Linked DNA regions of Mus musculus. The protein of the gene in region 2 purifies or fractionates together with the protein of the main gene of each other region. This does not show direct contact. Links are inferred from orthologs where the notes say so. Each region holds a gene or a part of one and is shown on either strand. Other genes may lie near its edges.

What was found. The genes of interacting proteins can lie anywhere in the genome.
Region 1: the proteins of Fbxl3 (region 2) and Cry1 purify together in Homo sapiens (affinity purification with mass spectrometry; 4 studies listed by BioGRID and IntAct, counting the BioPlex papers as one, with this or other methods). This does not show direct contact. The link is inferred for Mus musculus from reciprocal best matches to the Homo sapiens genes FBXL3 and CRY1.
Region 3: the proteins of Fbxl3 (region 2) and Cul1 purify together in Homo sapiens (affinity purification with western blotting; 6 studies listed by BioGRID, with this or other methods). This does not show direct contact. The link is inferred for Mus musculus from reciprocal best matches to the Homo sapiens genes FBXL3 and CUL1.

The regions. Positions count from the first base shown.
Region 1 is NC_000076.6:85,146,563-85,151,794, reverse strand, and holds part of Cry1 (cryptochrome-1), read left to right. Parts: intron 1-439; coding exon 440-582; intron 583-2,996; coding exon 2,997-3,181; intron 3,182-3,799; coding exon 3,800-3,888; intron 3,889-4,918; coding exon 4,919-5,059; intron 5,060-5,139; coding exon 5,140-5,232.
Region 2 is NC_000080.6:103,091,871-103,097,102, forward strand, and holds part of Fbxl3 (F-box/LRR-repeat protein 3), read right to left. Parts: intron 3,672-5,232; 5' UTR 3,671-3,671; coding exon 3,323-3,670; intron 557-3,322; coding exon 434-556; intron 1-433. UniProt on the Homo sapiens protein: Substrate-recognition component of the SCF(FBXL3) E3 ubiquitin ligase complex involved in circadian rhythm function. Plays a key role in the maintenance of both the speed and the robustness of the circadian clock oscillation.
Region 3 is NC_000072.6:47,519,079-47,523,973, forward strand, and holds part of Cul1 (cullin-1), read left to right. Parts: intron 1-57; coding exon 58-134; intron 135-569; coding exon 570-701; intron 702-1,714; coding exon 1,715-1,807; intron 1,808-3,999; coding exon 4,000-4,047; intron 4,048-4,125; coding exon 4,126-4,208; intron 4,209-4,620; coding exon 4,621-4,726; intron 4,727-4,895. UniProt on the Homo sapiens protein: Core component of multiple cullin-RING-based SCF (SKP1-CUL1-F-box protein) E3 ubiquitin-protein ligase complexes, which mediate the ubiquitination of proteins involved in cell cycle progression, signal transduction and transcription.

The sequences.
Region 1 (5,232 bases), on a different chromosome or scaffold from region 2:
TACCAAAGGTTTGTTACAGAGCGGTCTTAGCGTTAGCAGGCATAAGTTCATGTTTTCTATCTCCGTGAACATGAGCACGTCCCTTTGAAAAAAGTGATAACTATCTGCAAAATGCCAAACTTAGGTGGTTTTCATCCAGAATTAAATAAGGTAGTGTAGGTAATTAAAAAACGAATACTACCTAAGCACTTTAATATAAAGAGTATGCTTTAAGTATATTGCTAGACTGGCTCATGCCAAGCACAAGCCAGAAATCTCGTTGGCATATGTATGTCACCTGCATATTTTCACATTGATAAATTGTGTAATTGTCTTCATATTTGAAATCTGATTTATGTATAATCATTTGATGTAGATTTTGAACTTCTTATTTACTGTTATAAGAAGAACATTACTATAAAATTGTAATGTGTTGTTGCCCCCTTTTGTCTTGTTTTAGGAATGGAACATCACTAAACTCTCAATTGAGTATGATTCTGAGCCTTTTGGGAAGGAACGAGATGCAGCTATCAAGAAGCTGGCTACTGAGGCTGGCGTGGAAGTCATCGTGCGCATTTCACATACACTGTATGACCTGGACAAGTAAGAATTTTTATTACGAGAAATTATGTAATGACATTGCCATCTTAGACATTTTAGGTACACTTTTGGGTGATATTAAGTACATAATTGAGTAAGGTTATAAAAATTGGAAATATTTGAATCAGAATTTTAAGAATTAAATGGGTTTATATCAAGCCCTTAGCATTTTATTTAGCTGCTGTGATTTTTATTCACTCAGTTGTAATACCACGGTGAATAAGAAAATTTTTAGTGCTTCAGTTTTAAACTAAGAAATGCTATTTAACACTCTTTTTTTGTTGTTTTGTTTTGTTTTTACTGCTACCTTGGCCCACTGTTGCCTTTCAGGGCTGTCAGCATAATTCAATTAAGAGCTTATTTGACACATTTCCATATCTTACTTTGATATATTCTGTGTGATTTTATTATATGTACACTAGCTTATCCCTTCATTTAGTTGAGATGAAAACTGAAGTCATAACCTACCCAGTTAGAGTCCTCTGAACCATGGCCTCACATCCCATCTGCCGTGTGTCTGTTGATGGGGTGTGTGGCAGTACCAGGGGCGCTGTGACAGGCAGAGCCTGCGGCTTGCATTAGACAGGAGCACATGCTTGGGAGATTCAGGAGCTGTCTAAGTTCACAGTAACTTCTGGCATGAAATTGTCTTTATAAACATGAGAATTCACAATTTGTGTATCTATTAAGTAATTTTACCTTTTAAGTTATTTACACATTATACCAAGTTAACAAAGCTAATTCTATAAACAACACAACAAACTGACTTTACTTGTGTTAGCAAGTAAATGAATAAAACCATTACTTGATCCAGACACGCGTCTTCCCTTGGTGATGTCTTACATGTGCTAGTCCTTTTGGTACCAACACTTCCATCAGGTCCCAGTTTTCTTAACGTCAATGGGTGAATATGGAGCAGACAGAATAGGGTAAGAGAAGTTGCTTCTAAATGGGAGACTCAGCCATATTGTAAAATTAGGTTTTGTTGAGTTGATTGTGAATACATACCAAAGACTCGGTGTGTGTGTGTGTGTCTGTGCCTGTACGTCTGTGTGTGTGTGTGTCTGTGCCTGTACGTCTGTGTGTGTGTGTCTGTGTGTCTGTGTCTGTGCGTCTGTGCGCACACGTGTGTAAAAATCTTTTCTATGAGTTTCAGTTTGCTGGTAGATAATTAAGAGACACTTAATAGTGTCATTGTAGCATTATTGAATTCAACAAACTTCATTATAGCCCTATATGTAATATCAAAATATTAAACCAAAACAAACTGTACTTACAGCAGGGAGGATAGCTTTTACTCTGAAACCATGTCTAGACTTAATGCAAACCCTTGGAAGTGCTGCTGGCATCTTTCCCTAGAACTATTGTAGGATTGAGGTACCCAGTGGTCAGCAATAACTACATAATGCACTTAATATTAATGACTATACTTAAATATAAATGACTTGGAATTTGGGGTGCATGTATGCATAATATTTCTCTCCTTATCCATGAGGGCATTCCAAAGCCCTGGTGGCTGTTAAGAACCACTAGTCACGTTGAACCCATGTTCACTGTGCTGTCTATCTAAAGAGCACAGCATGGCAAAGCTTGGCTGTAAATTATAAGTTATAGGAGGTTAACAATGGTATTGAACGTTTAGAACAGTATGCTGTAATAAGTTATGTGAGTCTAGACATACTATTTTTGTAGCACAATTGAACACAAGTAACTGAAACCACGGAAAACAAAAGCTCAGCTAGGGGCAGGTGCTGGGAACAGATACATGTGCTGAGGTCTGTAACAAGGACCCACACAACAGAAAACAGCTGTGGAGGCTTCACGTCCATAGAGGAAATTGGGACACAGCAGAAAGGGCAAGAGGAGATAGGGTTTCTCTGTGTAGCCCTGGCTGTCCTAGAACTCACCCTGTAGACCAAGCTGACCTGGCATTTATAGAGACCCACCTGCCTTTGCCTCCGAGTGCTGGGATTGAAGGTGCGCCCCACTACTGATAGCATGTTTTACTTCTGCTGATTATTTCTCGTTAGAATTATCAATCTACTTTAGTTTTATTGGTGCCTCTTGAGATTTATTAAATTGGTTCATTTTTTTCACTTGTCCATTTATATTAATTTTTCTATACATGATCTATAGGCTAGTTGAACTACTTTGTTAGTTTTTAGTCACAATCCTAAATACTTGCCATCAATGATTTGATGTTTGCATACTGTATTATTTGACACCTAGTAGACATCTAGGAATTCAAGAGAATGGTTTTACATTCATTAAATATTTTTGAACACATTTTCTGGTCTTATCAGAAGCTAACATTCAAAATATCTTAATTGATAAATTTTCTGATATAAGCATTTTTGAGCTTATCAGCCAAGCTATATTAGCATTTACTAACTGTATCTTACTCATTCTTGTAACAGGATCATAGAACTCAATGGCGGACAGCCACCTCTAACATATAAAAGGTTTCAGACTCTCGTCAGCAAGATGGAGCCACTGGAGATGCCAGCAGACACCATCACATCAGATGTGATAGGAAAGTGCATGACCCCTCTGTCTGATGACCATGATGAGAAATATGGCGTTCCTTCCCTGGAAGAGCTCGGTGGGTGCAGCCGCTGATAAGCACCCAGAGTGCATGGCAGCACAAAGTGGACCTGATGGCTGACTAAGAAAAGTCAGAAAGAACACAGTCAGGATGGGTAGGGAGATCTGGGGGATCTAGGAAGCTTTAGGGGGACAGGTAAGGGCAGTGTGATCAGAATACGATGTGTGAAATTCCCAAGTAATTTAAAAATATATTTTAAAATACTTCATAGTCATAAATCATTTGGACATTTCACTTCTAATGTATTTTTACTGGAAGAAGAGAAGAGTAAAGGGGAAAATAAAAGAGAAACCTATTAACCAAAAATATCTCATGTGCATTCTTAAACTGTGACTGGCTGTCAGGTGACAATGTGCATCCTAAAAATGGGAACCATGTGTGGTCCTTGGGGCAGGAGTCTGTCATTGGGTGGGGCCTAGGCCAGTGTAGTCCTGTGTAGTCCTCTGTAAGCCAGTGTAGGCCTGTAGAGTTGTATTTATTTGTTTATTTTATTTTTGCTGAGTGATTTGTTTCCCAAGTAAGTGTGGTCAGGAAAACAGTGATTTTTTTGTTTTATAATAATTACAATATTAATGATGTTTTCCTTTCTTCATTTATTTGGTTCTTTTTCCTTAGGCTTTGATACAGATGGCCTGTCCTCTGCAGTGTGGCCAGGAGGAGAAACTGAGGCACTTACACGTTTGGAAAGGCATTTGGAAAGAAAGGTACAATGTAGATTCCAAATAAACCTTTCAGAAATTATCTCAGCCTTGTTTAGATGAGACCAGGCACATCCAGGGAGGCTTAGCCGTAAGCTTTAGACAGAATATGCTGTTGACAAAGGAAGACCGACAGAAATAGTTACAGCAGCACAAATCTAACGTTTGGAAGTCACCATCAGCCATCAGGTACTGCCCTTTCCTCCTGCCTGCTTCTTCCTGTTGCTGGAGCCAGGCTGCTGCTTCTGTTCTTCCCACCCGTATCAGCTGGCTAACGGGCTGGAGCAGGATTCTGCCTGCAGCCATGCTGCTCTGTCTGAGACTCCAGTGGGTCCCATGAGACAGTTTCACTTGTCTGTTTTGTTGGTATCACTGGTAATACGTATTGATTGTAGAAATTAGCAAGACTCCCATGTATTGATCCTGTTCCGCCACTCCCTCAGATACTTCTCCCATTGCAGATGACCCTCATCCTTGCCCTCTCCCGTCTCTTAATAAAGCTTAGTTTGTAACTTAGATGCATCAGGAGATTCATATACTCACTAATGGTAAGATAGTATAATTGTGATCTACTATAATAAATTATTTAAAACCTACAAGTTATTTGTAGAATTTTCCTTTAATGTTTTCCAACTATCATTACTCGACCATGAGCATCTGAAACCTTAGGAAAGGCAAGGCACACCATTGTATTCCTTTGACCCAGTGTTCAAAGAGACAGGGTGAAGGTGCTTCACTCCTGAGGCTGGGGACCTGATGGCCGTTTATTTCACATGAGTGCATGCTGTACATGGATGGCTTCAGGGAAAGACAAGTCACCTTTTAAAGTCCCTTTCTCCAGTTACTAAATCAGAGATCTATAGTGGGATAATAACAAATTCCTCAAAATCCTCAGTTTTGAGGTGTGTGTGTGTGTGTGTGTGTGTGTGTGTGTGAGTGTGAGTATGTGAGCTCAACTCCTTCCATGCGGTGCTGGAGAGTTGAGCTCATGTTAGTGTGATTAGAGAAGTTAATTTAATTGTCTCTGTGTTTCCAGGCCTGGGTGGCAAACTTTGAACGACCTCGAATGAATGCAAACTCCCTGCTTGCAAGCCCAACTGGACTCAGTCCTTATCTCCGCTTTGGTTGTTTATCATGTCGGCTGTTTTATTTCAAACTAACAGATCTCTACAAAAAGGTATTATCTGAAGTCAGAGTATGTTTTTTGAAATACTTTAAAATTTTTTTCTGGTAATACTTTTTGTTTTTTAATCGCAGGTAAAGAAGAATAGTTCCCCTCCCCTTTCTCTTTATGGGCAACTCCTGTGGCGTGAATTTTTTTATACAGCAGCCACAAACAACCCACGCTTT
Region 2 (5,232 bases):
TGCACCCCTAGACAATCTTCTGTCAAGTCTTAGCATTCCACGGAAGGACAAGGAACTGCTTGGCAGCATATTTACTGCTGCTGGAGAGGCTCAGCAGCTAAAGGACTTGCAGAGGCTCTTGTGGAGAACCTAAGCTTTGCTGACCAGCTCTCACAGGGTAACTCCAGTTCCTGGGGATATGACACCCTTTTCTGGACTCTGCAGGCATCAGACACACATGAGGTGCACATATTTATAAAGAAACACACACAAACAAATTAAAAACTCCTTAAAATCTTTTCTAAATACTATTTTTCAAGACTGTAAAACAAGCCCCAGATCTCCACCGCAATACTGCTTTGCTGTCCCCTCTGTCTCACTGTGGGCACTAACAATGAATGCTAGGGCTTCACTGGATTCCTCTGCAAAGGGAGTAAACAAACCCAGCAGATACCTTTGGTAGATCCATAAAGCTTGGCCGGGCAGTCGAGATAAGTCCGAGAGTTTTTAAAGAGCAATTCACAAGCTGCGACAGTATGTCACAAGCAGCTTCAGCTGATTCTTTGCTGCTGTCCACCTTAAAAGAAAACACGACTCATTCACGTATATACCCACATTTCTCTTTGAGTATCTTAACTTTATAAAAGCAAGAGACGTAGTTACTAATTTAATGCATTATCACTTAAAGGACAATGATTTTCAATCATCTCTCATAACAGTCTAATCTTCAAGATTGTGTTCATAATAATAATAATAATATATATATGTGTTTGGTGCTGAAAGACTAATTTGACTTATTTCAAAGTAACTGTATGAAATCAATTGTCTTTAAATCGTATTTTGTACTTGGTTAAATCAAGCAATACATGCACACACAGTGTCTCATGACGAACTGTTTCAGGGTACCAGAAGAAACTAGTGTCTATTTGTTCAGAATTTTCAGATGAGCTACACAACCTGAAATTCTCTAATGTCTTTAATAGAAAGAAATACAGAGTGAAGCAAGGGTGTCCAACTACACAAGCACAGAGTAAGTCTGAACTAAAGCAGAGAGAGGCAGCGGATCTTCTCCACATTTCTCTAGACTAAAATGTTAACCTCTAATACCATTACTCTTATTTCTAAAGTTGTGCTTTACAGCAGAGCTCTCGAAGGAGCTCTTAAGTGCTGTTGTGTATGAAACTGTCGTACCAACTGTCGTTCTCAAAATGAAGTTCCTAGACCGCACGAAAACCATCCAAGTACTGAAGCCATTGGAATTCTTATGCTTAGCCCACATGGCTAAGAAACTTTGTGAGTGGGACTGAGCACGGTTTGCCTTTAGACTCCCCTTGGTGAGTCTACTGAACAGCGTGAAAAGCACCGTTTTAGACTAATTAATCTGATTCTAAGTTTTTCCAGCCTATAGTGACCACTTAAATATTAAGGATAATCCCTGCGACATGTCTGCTTTCTAAACTAGAAATTACTTCCTCACACAAATAAATCTGTAACAAGAAATGTTAAACTTAAGCACAACTGGTTTTATGAGCTCCATCTGTTGGATACACCTGACTTGTGTCATAGACTTATAAAGGAACACCCAGGACCGAGATGACCTGCATTCATATGCAGGAATGCTCTTTACAATCTCCTTTCTATAGCATTTGCCATTACAGTTTTCTAAGGCAACTCAAAGATGACCGAAAGCAAAGGGAAAGCAATTCAGGTTTCCTCCCTGGAGGAGGGGAAGCAGTCCCTCCACACTTGTCTGCTTGAATCCTACCCCTTATCAAACAATAATGCACCCTACTGGAGTTTCAGGTAAACAATAACTTGTATCAGTAAGTCTGTCTGGGACACATCTACACTGATCGGCATCAGTGAAGTCAAAATTAACTAGGCATCTTTGTTTGCCTCTTGAAACAGCGTCCTTCCTGTTAAATACTCACTCTGTAGCCCAGGCTGCTCTTAACAGGCAGTGTCCTGATAACTCTTTTCTCTTTGGCTATGATTAGCAATCCTATGCCTGATAACCCAGTACCTTTATGACCACAATCCACTCAGCCATATCTATTACCAAGCTCTCCTATCTTAGAGGAAGACAGCATAGGGAGGGCACGAAGCTTTAGGTGAGGAGCACTGCTTAGACAGGTTTTATGCTGGCCCCTTCAGCAAACAGGAAATAGAGGCAAACGAGGCAATTCCTGTCCTTTTACAACAGCTTTTTGGTTTTTATGCTCAACATTTTTAAGAGAAGGCCTTAAATTGTTGATTCTCTCTCACCTCAGACTCCCAAGTCATAGAGCTACATGAGTGACTCACCAGGCCTAGCCCAGTTTAATCATTTAACAATAACTATCATTTAGAAATCATATTAGAAAAAAATTAACGTTAAGGATTCAGCAAGCATCCCATTTTTCTTTCTTCATCTCCAAAATACAATGTGCTGAACCTTTGTTCTCACATAGGTACTGTGATTAACACTATTCAAACCTCAAGAGGCTACCTTCCTTCACCCACCTCATCACTCTGTGAGTCTTACGTGTCCCTTGTAACACTGAAATGAAGCAAACAGCTCTCTTGCATTTTTCCATGAATCCTCTTTTGTTTCCTTCTAAAATACACTCGAACTATTTAGTCTCTACATCATCTTTAGTGTTTTTGTTGGTTTTTTAAAAATGCATCAAAGCCAGCAACACTCACTGGTCGTGGTGGCAGCTCACTCCCTTAATCCCAGCACTTGGGAGGCAGAGGCAGGAAATTAAGTTTGAGGCCAGCCTGGTCTACAGAGTGGAGTTCCAGGGCAGCCAAAACTATGCAGAAAAACCCTATCTCAAACCACCACCACCAAAACAAACAAATAAAACAACACCCCCAAACAAAACCAAACCGTCCTAATGCAGTAGTTCTCAACCTTCCTAAGGTATAATTCCTCATGTTGTGGTGACCCCCAACCATAAAATTATTCCATTGTTACTTCATAAAGTAATTGACACCATCACCACCACCCCTCCAAGGAGTCCCGCGCAGCAGGTGGAAACTCACTGCCCTAACGTTTGTGATATATTTCTCTTCCCTCAAATTTGCTGCCAACCATTCACCATTAATTTAAAACTTCAGTCACTTATTTAGACTCACTTAGTGGCTGCTTTTGCTCTTTTAAGAAATTAAAGGACTATTTTAGCTTTAGCAAATATAAAAAAATATTTGTAAAGAACTCTTAAAGGCATGCAATAATTTTAAAACTTTAAGCACTTTCCCTGAAAAGTTCACTATTCTAAGGACATCAGAAGCTCAACTGGCTGTGACAGTAACGGCAGTGAGGCGCTTTACTCGTTAACAGAAGGATGGAAGGGGTTACCTTGAAGCTGACATACTGTAGGTGGTTTGAGTGCCTTTTGATAATCTGTTTGATCAGCTCTGGGTGTGTGGCTTTCAAGTAAGATGTCGCTGGCTGATTCAGTTCAAATTCAAAACATCGCCACAAGTCAGGCATGTGAAATACCTGATTCCAATTCCGGCACACTTGGGAAGCATGAGCCCGGTCAAGAAGAGGCAAATACTTAAAAACATGGAGGACGATGTCCTGCAGGAGGTTACCCCAGTCACAAGGCTGCGAGCGCTCCTGTGTCGTCCTCGGTCTCTTGGGCTTCTCGGCAGTGCCTTCCTCAGCAGAGTCCTGGTCACTATCTCTTCCTCCTCGTTTCATCCTATTCAAGACAATCCATCATTTCCCATCCTACTTAACTTTTGATCAAATTCATCTTCTGTTACTGAAATGTGTTTGGATTTGGACAGAAATACGCATGAAAACCTGGCCCAACAATTCAAGGAGAATATAAAAATGCAATGAAACCTGCCGGTGGAGATGAAACTCCTGAAGTGATTTTAAACAGCTACATTTAAAACTACTTATAACTTAGGTAAACCATGAATTTATAACTCAAAACTTGTAGTCAACTCTAAAGGAGAACTACAGTGATAAAATCCAATTTTCTGTCAAATTTAAGGTACACCAAGGTCCGCATGAACCTCTAAACTCTTAAGTGGTCAACAGAGCTGCACTGAACAGCCTGTGAACAGCCTGCTACACATACCCCACCTCTGCTTGGTGGACGTAAATCTGGACTGAGAGTACAGCCCAATGGTAAAGCCCCTGCCTTAAGTACTCCCGCCCAAGCTCGACCTGCAGCTGCATGAAGTAGATGAGTAGTTACAGCAGTCTGCCTGACTAAGCTAAGCTTTGTCTCAGCTAGGATATGGTTTCTTCTCCCAACACATAACTGTCACTGTTTTTCCTGTCCATTTTCTGTATGTTTCCGCCATGGTTTTTCTATGTATTCTTACCCCCTTCATGCCATGAGATGTTCACGACAAACGGTACCATCAGCTCGAAGACCAAGCTCTCTCGAGGTTTGAATACTAGCTACACTTCAAAATAGCTCCATGGCTTTGGGAAATTACAAGACTGTCAGTACAAGACTGTCAGATGCTTCAGTTTGCAAAATGGTGATCTTTTGATACAGGGTTCTTGACATCTCAGCCCAGTATGGAAGCCATCACAAAGAAGTGACTGTCCCCAGAATGGGAAGAGCAATTTAATTTTTCTTTCAAAAAAGGGGAGGGAGCAGTGGTGTAGAGAAATGCCCTGGCAAGAGCATCACTAGCTTAGGGTAACAGCTGAAAATGCGCAGTGGGGCGGCACAAGCTCCAGCTATGTTCCCCAATATGCTCTTTTTCTTTCTACATTGTATACAGCTATTTCATGTAATCAGAGTTCCAAAGGACACATCTTCATTTGTTACTTTATTTACACTGCACTCTAGTCTAACCTGGACCATTCCTTGGTACTAGTATTTAGTCTAGGATCTACCATGATTTTTAGAGAGCAATTCTAGTAAGGCGCTGGTCCAAACAAGACTCAAAAGGATGGCTTGACTCCAACCAACTTGTGACAAATCATGTCGCAAGAATCGGGTTCCTCCGTGGTATGAAGGATATGCGTCTGTACAGACTTTCTCATCCAGAGGCTGGCAGAGAAGGGCTGAGGGCTGGAGAAAACAAACAGGATGGCAGAGAGCACAACCCTACATCGTCAGTCCAGGAGGCCTTGAAAAAGGAACTGTCTCCTTTGTTGTTCCTGCATCTGACTGTATGCACACACACAAAAGGGCATAGTCTCCAGGAAAAGCAGAATTCAGAAAACAAAATAACAGATGACAAGATGGCTTTATGGAACATTCAAACTTATGAATCTATGAATAGATTTTT
Region 3 (4,895 bases), on a different chromosome or scaffold from region 2:
TGTGTAACAATAGAATTTTAAAATTTGTAGAGTAATTAAATGTGTTCCTTCCCACAGTGGACTTCAGTATTCAGGTCCTGAGTTCTGGATCGTGGCCCTTTCAGCAGTCTTGCACGTTTGCCTTGCCGTCAGAGGTAAGGATAGTTTTGGTTTTGTTTCTTGGTCTCTTTCAGCTGGCAAGAGGGAAAAGGGCTGCCTGACCTTAGTGTGCTGACCGAAGTGCTGTGTAAGCAGTCAGTGCACTGTTTGTGGGGAATGTGAAATGGGCCTGTGTTAAATAGCGAAAGGCTCTCTGTTGCAGCAAACAGTGTTGACTTATTCCCGACAAGCAGAGTCTCACTGGTTACATGGTAAACTCTTGATGTACCTACTGGGCATGAGGTAGAAACCTGCTTTGGTACTCACTCTGCAGTCTTAAAGTGTTCACGAGACGGTCCCCGGCATTTGTAGTTCACTTCTCTGTAAGCACTGATTTTGTTCTCAGAACTTGGGGCAGGGACTTTTATTTAGAAATGCTGACTGTAGAATGGAAAGCCATGGATGCCGCATAGTGCTGTTCTTTCATCTAGTTGGAGCGCAGTTATCAGCGATTTACAGCTTTCTACGCCAGCCGTCACAGTGGCAGAAAATTGACATGGTTGTATCAACTGTCCAAAGGGGAACTAGTCACTAACTGCTTCAAAAACAGATACACTTTGCAGGTAAAATCTTTTTATTTGGGTAAAATATTTGAGTACTAATTGATGATAAGACAACTTATAGAAACCCAATTAGATAGCTCATGCAGTGGGATGCAGTTCATTCTCTGACAAAGCCATGTAGGGAGTAAAGCATGCTTGTCATGGGCAGGTGAGCTGAACTCATTTTCTCTGACTATAGATGCAAGTCACTTCCTTACTCTGAGCCTCAGGTTTCTCCTCCACTGAGTTAGCAGTGTTTGCTTACACCATAGAAGTGATCTTTGATAGGTTTGGTAGGTTTGCATGACATGCTGGGGTGACAAATTTAAAAGATGACATTTCACTCTCTAGTTCCAGTCAGAGCTCTCTGCAGCCTCACAGTGATAAGACTCCCTAGCACGTCTAGCAGTGTGCAGTGCCTAGTAATAACAGCTATGGGCTGATTGCATTTCTACAAAAGCTGGGGTCCAGTTAACTGTGGTTCAAAGTCTAGGTTCCTTCTACTCTCACTTCTGTACTCAGTGTGTTTCACAAGTAAAACTTACTTCATTCCTTGAAAAGGTCTCAGTAGTGAGCTGGTAATGGTAATTAAACTGTAGAGTATGTGACGAAAACTACTCACTAGTTTAACCTTTGTACTTCCACATTGATAAGTTAATTAAGTAACCATTATACCTGGTGTGGAGGTCTCTGGCAACTTAAACATACACATAATGTATAAATGGTATGCATCCCCAAAATAATTTTTGTTCTACTATGCATAAAAATTAAACTTATAATTAATGTCTCTATACCTGGTGTATGTTTATATTATAGGTATGCTCATATATTTATGCTTATATAGGGTACATTTCAGGAGAAAAATGAGTCTTTTCAGTGTTTGAAAGGTATCTTTAAGAAAAATGTCCATTCCCCTGGTTGTGACATTTTGTATTCCCTCTCCTTTTTTGCCTCTGAAGAATGCTTTTCATGAAAGCAGGTTGTACCTTTCCCATGTTTTCACATTTCCTCTTTCTTTCCTCTGGACCACGAAGGCGTCCACATTTCAGATGGCAATCCTGCTTCAGTATAACACAGAAGACGCCTATACTGTGCAGCAGTTGACTGACAGCACTCAGATTAAAATGGTATTTCCACTGTTTGGTACTCACGCTATACTCTCAAGCTGCCTCTTCTTTGTTCATTGGGATGTTGTGGAAAGGGGGAGAGGACATGGGTTTCTTTGGCTTACTAGATGTTAGCAGCATGGAGAAAAAAGTAAAAGCAGTAAACTCTGACCAAGGCACCAGAAGACCAGGCCAGATAGATCCACAGAGAGCATTTCACTGGGGTGTCTGACACCTTGGATGCCAACAGGACCACTGAGTTCTCATGGTTGAGTCAGAGAAGTTTATATAATGGGCAAGGTTCACTTGAGCCAAAAGTTAACCTGACTAGTCTCAAACTTGTGTGAGGAGCATCCAGCACATTCCTGGTACTGGTGGTACTAAGGTCTAGGGTGTAAAGCTCCATGTGCCACTATCACGACTTTATAACTTTATAGTATTTAAGCAAATTGTTTTGGAGAAAACATGGGTTCTCAGGCAGGCATGGTGGCCAGCACCTGTGATGGTGGTGGCCAGTTCCAGCTGTGTCCTTATAAACCTTTATGCCAGTTTCATAAGGGTGTTAAGAAATGCTCTCTTTTGTCAGCATTATAAGGACAGTGTGAGATGCTCTATTTTTTTTAAGGGTTTCTCTGTGTAGCCCTGGCTATCCAGGAACTCTCTTTGTAATCCATGCTGGCTATGAACTCAGAGAGATCTGCCTGACTCTACCTCCCATGTGCTAGGCTTAATGGTGTGTGCTACCACCACTGTCCCTTGAAATGCTGTTTTAAACCCAGTCAGTCACTGTCTGTCTCTGTCTCTATCTCTGTGTGTGTGTGTGTGTGTGTGTGTGTGTGTGTGTGTGTGTGTGTGTGTGTAGATATATGTACTTGTTTGTATTCACGTGTTGGAGACTAGAAGTAGATGTCACTGTGGTGCACATGTCATTCTTTCTTTGAAGCAGCGTCTGTCAGTGAATCTGGAGCTTATCCATTCAGCTAGGCTGCACAGCAGTAAGACTTGGGGATTCACTCATTTATTCCCCATAGCACTCCAGACAAGGCTGAGCTTTCACGTGAGTGCTGGGAAGCAGATAAAAGATTTTTTAACTTTCCTCATTCACTTTATTTTTTGTTTGGTTGGGATTTTCTGTTGCTGTTGTTGAAATAGTCACCTGTACTCTAGGATGACCTCAGATTCACTGAGTAGGTAGAGAATGCCTTAAACTAACTTACTGTCCTGTCTTTGTACATACATCTGTGTATCTGTGATAGATTACTGGCATGCTCCACACCCGTTTTTATGCAGTGCAGGAGATTGAATCCAGGGCCTTGGGCATGCTAGCCAAGTACTCCACCAGTTAAGAAGTGGTCCCTGCCCCCATTTAATTTTTTAGTTGACATGTGTACTTACTGATGGGTACACTGCTGTACATGCATTTTTTTTTTTTAAATTTCAATGAAACCTACTTTTTTTTTTTTTTTTTTGCTGGCTGGTTGGAAGGGTTGACAGGTCTGCCTCTCTAGTCTCTGCTTGGCCTTCTCCTCGATGCCACACCAATCTTTCTACTTCTTTGTATTACTAGAATTACCTTATGGGTCTTTAGCTGCCCTCCTCCAGACCCCAGTGCATAGCTGTCACTTCTCTGACAGCATGGGAGCCTTGGTTAAGAGTGCAGGTGAGAAAGTTAAGTCCCCATGCCATGAGGCTTGATGGTTCTGGAAATCACCAGAGCAGCTAATAACTACAGAGGTCATATGATGCACTGAATTGCCAACTAAAGCCAAGTTGGCAGCAAGTCAGCTGCCTCCAAGTCTCAGCATGTTCATGAATGCAGTGCAACTTTGGTTCTGCTGAAGCTCCTTACTGCTTCGTTCGCATGTTCAGGGGTGTAGTTTACTGGTAGAACACTTGCCTGGCACACAAAGCCTTGGGTTTGATCCACAGCACCACATAAATGTCTTATGAACCTTCAGACATCGAAGAAGTGAATCATTTCCTGTAGGTTTCATTGAAGAAGCAGGCCATATATTGTGTCCAGTGTTTGTGGGAAACTGCATTATTATTGCCTTTGAATAGTGGGTGCTTCAGGCCATAAAGAACAAGCCATGTCACTTTCTCTGACTAGTTCTGCTTTGAGGTGATGACCATTTCTGTGAGGCTGGGCCTCTGGGACAGGCACTGTAAAGAAGTATTCTTCCTCCTTGCTTACCATCTTTCTCTGATTGCAGGACATTTTGGCACAAGTCCTACAGATTTTACTGAAGTCGAAATTGCTGGTATGTTTGTATACTTTGTGTTGAGCTAGAAGACACCCTTTCCCTAGGATGTGCCTAGTAACAGTTATTTTCTTCTAGGTCTTAGAAGATGAAAATGCCAATGTTGATGAGGTGGAATTGAAGCCAGACACCTTAATAAAGTTATATCTTGGTTATAAAAAGTAAGAAAAATCTAACATGTAGCTGCTGGTCTTATCCCCTGGCACTGGCCTACTTCAGGATCGGCACGAGCCAGGGGAACTGGACTCTGCTTTTAATGCTGAGTTTGATTTTCTTTATCTTGAAAATAAGTCTTGAGTGGCTCATATGGCATGTTTAGACCTTTATATCAAGTTATTTTGGTGTTATTACAATTCACTAAATTGAGGGGTCAAGTGTCACTTCAGTCATCCCTCTGTGGTAAAATTACATAGCATTGGTGGAGGGGCAGTTCGCAGGTAGCAGTAGAAATGATGAGAAATGATATAGAAGAGATGGGTGTGAACCACCTGCCCAGTCCAGGGATGCAAAACGTGTAGTTGAAAGACAGGAAGCAGACTTTTCAATGACCTGTTTCCTCTGTTATCTTGACAGTAAGAAATTGAGGGTTAATATCAATGTACCAATGAAAACTGAACAGAAGCAGGAACAAGAAACTACACACAAAAATATAGAGGAAGACCGCAAACTACTGATTCAGGTGACTGAACCATGTCTGCACTGTACACTTAGGGAAACGTGCTGGCCTTGTATGTGCTCAAACGCTGCCAGAATGACAGTTCGGTGATGGCCAAAGATGACAATGCCTGAAGCCAGCACTTGGTGTCTGAGGGATGAAGTATTTTATGTTCCAAACAAAAGTAGTCTAA